Mus musculus: one gene and its partner. The protein of the gene in region 1 interacts with the protein of each later gene in a pairwise test. Links are inferred from orthologs where the notes say so. Each region holds a gene or a part of one and is shown on either strand. Other genes may lie near its edges.

Evidence for each region. The genes of interacting proteins can lie anywhere in the genome.
Region 2: the proteins of Smyd1 (region 1) and Fam204a interact in binary tests that used the Homo sapiens proteins (3 or more experiments, as listed by UniProt). The link is inferred for Mus musculus from reciprocal best matches to the Homo sapiens genes SMYD1 and FAM204A.

The regions. Positions count from the first base shown.
Region 1 is NC_000072.6:71,217,144-71,220,796, reverse strand, and holds part of Smyd1 (histone-lysine N-methyltransferase Smyd1), read left to right. Parts: intron 1-1,375; coding exon 1,376-1,539; intron 1,540-3,653. UniProt on the Homo sapiens protein: Methylates histone H3 at 'Lys-4' (H3K4me), seems able to perform both mono-, di-, and trimethylation. Acts as a transcriptional repressor. Essential for cardiomyocyte differentiation and cardiac morphogenesis.
Region 2 is NC_000085.6:60,220,087-60,223,739, reverse strand, and holds part of Fam204a (protein FAM204A), read left to right. Parts: intron 1-2,435; 5' UTR 2,436-2,443; coding exon 2,444-2,686; intron 2,687-3,162; coding exon 3,163-3,250; intron 3,251-3,379; coding exon 3,380-3,410; intron 3,411-3,600; coding exon 3,601-3,653.

The DNA.
Region 1 (3,653 bases):
CTTCCATCTTAGCACCCACTAAGGACATATTCTCAATGCCCGCCGAACCCAACGAGATCTGGCCCAGGAGAGCAGAAGCTGCCGGGCCCTGAGTTAGGGATTGGGGAGATGCCCGTGACAGCTCGTGAGTCATCAGAAATGGAAGAGTGGACACTGAGAGTGGCCTGCCTGCCTTTGCATCACTGAGTATAAGCCTCTTACACCCTGTCGCTGCACACTGGGCATTCAACGTTGGCTCCTCTGGCTGTATACTATAATCACCTGTGTAAACGCCTCATGCCCTCCCCCAACCAGGACAATTTCTCTAAAAGTCTCTGCTAGAGGAATCTAGGCATCAAGGTTTTGCAGCCTCCACAGGTTTTCAGTGTGCAGCCAAGTGGTCGGCAGAGCTAATGCTGGGTTGGTTTTTGGAAACAAGGTCTTTGTGTGTAATAGAGACTGGCCTTCAACTCTCTATCTTCCTGAGTATGGGAATGACAGCATATACCATCATACCTGACAAGTTAATCGCAGTGACATGTTGGAAGTTTATTCTTGTGTCTTGCCCTCTGAGCTGGGATCTATCACTGAAATAGAACAGAAGCACCGTGAGTCAGTGCCTTCCCCCAAGCTCGCTGTGCAGCTTGGATGAGCCAGGTGTGGCTGCCACTAGGGTGTGTTAGTATAGTAGTTAATTTTACTTCATGCCTGCTTCATTTCCCTTCTTTTCCTCCTTCTCCTTTACTATGTATGAGCCCTTACTATGGTGCCCAGTGTAAGGCAGTCTCCTTAGCCCCTGAGTCCTGTCAGATGGGAGGAAGCCATGAAAACTAAGTGTTCTGCATGGTAGGGAATCTATGAAAAAGGCATGTGTTAGGAGCCACAGCAAGGGTGGAGGGGTGTCAGTCCCCGGACTCCATTCCTCTGTTCTACCCTCTTCACTTCTGTCCCCCAAGAACATCACAGGCTGATGACTAAGCCTTAGGGTGGGCACTTACCCAAACAATCTCAGTACATTTACTTTGCATATATTCACACACACATATGCGCATATACATACTATATATATTATATGTATATATACATATTATATATATACAGAGAGAGCATATATAGAGAGATATACACACATGCATGCATATATAGTTTCCATAGCTCTGCTGTCTACTGACTGAAAACTCCTCTCTTTGTTGTGTCATCTTTATGTCCCGACTCTATCCTTTCCCATGCCTATATCTTAGCCACGCAGACCATTTTGTTAGTTCAAACCACAAAGTTTGTTTTAATTTTTCCACCAGGTTTCAAAGAGTGAGTCTAGTGTTGTCTTGATGTTCCACGTGTCGGTTAAGACATACTCTGGTACTGTAATGATGAATGAAGCTGTGTCTCCCTCCAGGTTGTGAAGCTGTGTCGGGAGTGCCTGGAGAAGCAGGAGCCAGTGTTCGCCGACACCAACCTCTACGTGCTTCGGCTGCTCAGCATTGCATCAGAGGTCCTCTCCTACCTCCAGGCCTATGAGGAGGCCTCACATTATGCCAGGAGGATGGTTGATGGCTACATGTAAGTGATGGTCCTGAGTCTCAGGTAGTCTCCCGGACATCCTCTGTTCCAGGGATGCCAAAGAGATGGCACACATTTGACTGTTCCTCTTATACCCACAAACGGCATCAGCCACAGGCCATGGTCATGGTCAGGCTTCTCCTTACAAATGAACCTTTTTATCATGTTGTTCCAAGTAATAATGATCAAATAATGATGTCGGACCTGGTCCTCAGGTGAAACCTAGTTGTCATCTCTGGTTTATTTGTGTACACATTCCTTACTTGTCACTTGAGCCATGTCTTTTACCTTTGATTTTCCTAAAAGAAGCTTGATTTTAAGTGCTTGGAAAGTTTTTTTTTTTCCCTTTAATAACCTATGACCAATCTGTAACTCATAGGTCTTGGCCTTTGGCACTTATCCAAACCATAGCAATGTATTTACACTTTGTATATCTTTATATGAGTATACATGTGATATATATATATATATATATATATATATATATATATGTATGTATATGTGTGTACATATGTGTGTATGTATATATATAAATAAAACATGTGCATAAGTTTCCGCAGCTCTACTATGATGAGAGAGGCCATTCTTGCTTATAAATTATAATATGTTGCTTTCTTATTCCCTTCCACCAATGTTCTCTCTTACTGTTTATGTTCATATTATCATAGAAATTTGTGTTTCTGGTCAGATGAGTAAGTTGTCATGAGAAGGCTTTTCTTTAGAGGATGCTGCTCATTAAAAATGCAGGTAAACTGTAAGCATGCTAGGAAGGAGCCCTGCTAGGAGAAGAAATGAGTGCAGCCCCAGGTGCCACAGACAATCTGGGTCCCTGGTCTGTGAAGAACGGGATTTCTTAGGCAGATGGACAAAGAGTTTGGATGAAAATGACAGACAGATACACGAAAGATGTGTTGAATCTGAATGTAATGTTCTGGTTGAGCTTCAGACTTATATAACAACGAATTATCAGAGGATACAAATCACAAAAAGACAAGATACACTGAAATTCACCAGTTACAGCAGAAAGGAATTTACAGGGACTAATTAAATGTTTACATTAGGGATAACAAGCCCTGCCTAGGATCAGCCTAATGCCAGGCAAGAATTTCACACTTTAAGGTTAAAAGCATCAGGGGGTTGTTAACTCTTGACAGGCCTTAAGAGTAATGCGCTATCACAGAGCTCTAAATTCTTAGGTCTAGTAAAACTTATCTTGTCTGGAGAGTTTCCCCTTATCAGGGTAGTATATCAACTTATACTTGACATGGAAGTAGCCTGTAGTAAAAGATTTCTATCTCAGTGAGACTTTTAGTCTCTATCTGTAAACAGCTGAGTAAAATGGCAAGTGCTTAATTGTTTACTGAATGGGTTAAGCTCCTTGCTGCTATCTGGAATCTAAGAACACTGGAAAAGGGCTTTAGCTATGTTAGAATACAATCTTAAAAGGCATTTACTATAAGGTAAAGCTATATAGAGTGCACGTGGATCCATACACTAGACTAATGTGGGTTTGGAAAATTAATTTTATGGGTTAGGGAAATAGCCAAAGATCCAGGAGTAAGTTTCCTTGAAACTTTTTCCTCATGAGAAAGCTTTCAGACTTTCATCTGTCAAGCTGACTCCACCGGAGTCCCTGGCACCCAGGAAGGACATTAAAGTTACATTTTCCACCTTGAGCTTTTTTTCATGTCCCCCAGAGAACTGGGGGTGCTCCAGATGGTACCTGCCTCTCTATGCTCAGGCTCAGAGTACACCTGTGACCCTCTTTGTCTATGAAGCACTGACTCGATGGTTCAGATCAGATTCCCAAGTCTCCTGACCTCACTGTGTAGAACATTAGCCAGCTCTATGCATTTCAATATCTTATGACAAGCTGCTGGTGCCTAATAGCAGTAGTGGGACGACTAGATGGACTTTATCTGTAAGAGTACTGGCTTTGATATCATTTCTGTCTACTGTGACAGAGTACCCCGAGAGAAACAGCTTAGAAGAAAGTTTATTTTAGCTTACAATTCCAGGGTCACAGCCCATCACTGCTGGGAAGCTGAGGTCACAGCACACCCACACTCAATAGCAGAGAGGAATGAATGAATGCATGCATGCAAGCTTGGTCT
Region 2 (3,653 bases), on another chromosome or scaffold:
AACCAGGAAAATACCGTATCAGCATATTAAATGCTTTATCATCAGTCAATAAGAGTAATTTTGAGAAAGTTCAAAAAGCCGTGAAAACTGGGTAGCTGCCTGAAAACTGATGAGGAAATGATACCTTCTATAGGGTACCTGAGACCGCTCTCCTTGGGGAATCACATTTGAATGTCCAGAATATAGATTGTGAAACTCCAGATGTGCTCAAACAGCAGCCTGCCATGCTGTCTAAGGCCCAGGCCGAGTGACATTTCCATGCTGCGGTGCGGATTCTGGTCTGTGAAGCTCCTGGTTCTCCTTTGTGTACTTTGGTTCCTAGACTCTTGAGAGTATCTAGCGTGCAGTGAACTGCCATGGGCAGTTCTTCTATAGTAGGCCCCAGGCATGCTTAAAAAATGCCTGAAATTGTTAATTTTAACATCCTCAACTAGATAACGAACCTAAAGGTGATGCAGATGCTTCACTACGCTGTTCTCGCTGGCTCATTTCACAGTGTATCTCAAGACTTCATTCATCTTGTCTTTTAAAACCTAAGACCAAGCTTGGAGGAGATGCAGGTTTTATAAGTCAAAACACTTATAATTTGGGGGTCTCTACTTTGAGCTGAACTTATGTTCTGGATGGAAAGTTACACACTGTAGTTTAGAGCAAACCTTTATAAGTGAGAAACATTAATATTTGAGTTTCATTCATTGTCTGATTGTCTGCCTCTTATTTTACTGCTCTATTCAGAAGGCCAAGCACAAGGTTATTCAGAGAAGCTTCGTGTCAGACTGCAGATCAGGGTGGGGAACATGATTCGTATCAGTTGACAAATGAAACGCTTCAAATATTAGAAACTTCAGAGGTATCTTATGGGTTCTTCGTCCATACTAGGAGTGATAAAAATGCATTCATGGCCACAGAAATGATAGCAAGAACCACTGAACAGTTGGTTTTTTTTTTTTTCTTTTTGACGCACAGTTCAAATTTATTTATTTATTTTTTAAATTTTAACACTAAACGTTGAGCCCCTAGAGCCTCCTGAATGCTGTGGAGTACTGTATCTCATTTAATCCTCAGACGAACCAGTGTAATTATCCTGTGCCACAGATGAAGAAACTGAGGATCAGGGTTGTTAAGTAATTTCCTTCTTCCTCTAGAGGAACTGGAGTCAGGAGTCCAGTTGAGTCTTCTTAAAAAGCAAGAGAATGTTTCAGAAAGTCAAATACTGATAAACATATCCTAAAACACAAAAATACTGCTTCTTTGAATCTGAGGAGGTCCTTAAAAGAAATATGTAATTCAGAGTAATGCAGAGATCCTGATACCTGTGACCTGCAGAGAATGAGGAGACCCAGCAAGATAGCTTTCTGTTCTTCACTGATGATGAAATATGAGAAATGCAATCAATTTGGGCTCAGTTGTATGGAAAAAATAGGCTGTATTATGGAGATCAAATGAAACTTTGATAATCTTTGCACATGATTACACGAATTCTAAAAGTCATTTTCATGAAACTTAATGATTATACCATTGGGCAATACAGATAATGCCAAATACTATGTTAAACTTATTTCCCAAATACATACTATTGTTACTCAAGAGAGCTGTATGCTTGTTAAAATTTTAGATTTATATTTCATTTAATTTTACCAAACTGTAAAATTTAAAACTAGGATATATTCTTTTACCTCCACACTTTTAAAATTTTATTTAATTATATTTTTTTACATTTATATATGTGTATGGGTGTGGGTGTCCATGCCATAGCACATAGATAGAGGTCAAAAGACATCTTGCAGTTGTCTCTCACCTACCATGTGCGGTGGAACTCAGGTCGTCAGGGCTGATGACAAGTGCCTTTACTTGCTGAGCCATCTTGTTGGCACATACTGCTACACCTTTTAAAATACAGATGTACAACTTAGTTTTTTTTCTTTGTTTTCCTGCTTCTTAGACAACATGCCTTTTGAAAGTTATATATGCTTCAGTGTAGATGACACATCCACCTTTATTTTCTTTTATGGGCACAGTGAGAAACATGGTATTTTGAGCCTTAAATTAGTTGTGATGTTTCACGTGTATAATTGCAGCATTTAGGAGGCTGAAGCAGGAGGGTCTTCGGGAATTCTTGGCCTGCCTGGGCTCTAGAGTAAGGCCCTGTCTTAGTAAAAGAACAAAACAAAATAAAAATTTAAAACTACATTGTTTTAAGTTCCTACTGACATTCTTGAGCCATGAGTGCTTTACTGAGCGTCGTTTAGGCAGAAGAGTCCATACTTAAGAAAATCAGGGTTCTGTTTTATCCATTTTAGATTTTAAAGTTTAAATTGGCTGTCCTTAGGTCATTGGCAGACATATTGGTCTCCTGTGGTATCTGTTAGTGGTTTTAAAATAGTTTCCATGGCTACTCTTTGAGTTTGAATTCATCCTTCCCTTTCTCCTATTAGAAGAAAAGATGTGGAGTGGGCTGTTACCTCCTGGACTAAATGAAAGTGATGTTGAATCAGATTCTGAGGATGAAATCAAACTAGAGAACCCAGAACCTTCAGAACATAATTTACAGGAAGATGGAAAGACTGGCAGCAGTACGAAGCCAGCAGTGTCAGACTTCCCGACAGGCCAGCCAGAGACGGAGACAGAGGCTGATGCGGATGCATATGAGAAGTGTCCTTCTGGGATTCCCTTAAACATATGGAATGTAGGTTTCCCTTTGTGTGGTTAGGAAAGTATGCATGTTCATGTGTTCTCTGTGCTGTGGGCAAAGTATGTTGGGATATAACAGACAGTAGAGGGGCCTCAGAACAGATTCTACTGTTGGATACTAGTTTTATTTTACATAAGTAGAAGTAGTAAAACCTTCATAGGATTATCTACTTCATAGGATTATCTACCTAACATGATAAAGGAGTTTATTTCTTTATTTCTTCCTTTAATTATATGAGTTATTGAGCTTCATTCTCCACTATCAAACAGCTTATATCAAAACCAGTGAATGCCCCAATTCAGCTGAGAGTTGTGAGGACTAAAGTATTTCAAGAACAGAATTCCTTAGTTGGTGGCTTTAGAAATGGCAGAGCATAAGGATTTCTATTTAACATGTCTGTTCCTTTTTAAACTGTATGTTTATCTTCAGTCACACACACACACACACACATCTTTTCTCCTTTTACATAGAAATTTCAAGAATTGCATAAAAAAAATTCTGAACAGAAAAATTCAACGCCAAGATTCAGACAGAAAAAAAGAAAACGCTCCAAAAAAGGTGTTTATTTTTAAATTTAGATTGTTAGTTATGCTAACTCTTAAGTTGATTAATTGAATTAATTTCTTAAAACATGATTTTGAAATAATAGCTGCATAATTAAGTATTGACACTCTAAATTTCTTTTAGGCAAATTGAAGAATGAAAAGGAATCTCACAGGTAGGTAGATTTTAAAGTAGTTACTATTCAGCAGTGTTGTGGGATTTTCTAGATTGCTGCACTACTTACCTTTGGTAATGATCAGACATGAGAAGTAGTCATTGAAGTGTAATTATTGCAACCAGTTAAAAATAGACAAAGTAAAAAGAGCCATAATTTATGTACATAGAGTTAATTTATCTTCTTGCAGTGAGCAGTCCTCAAATGAGACCCAGTGGGAAGAGCTTACTCAGTATTTTGGAG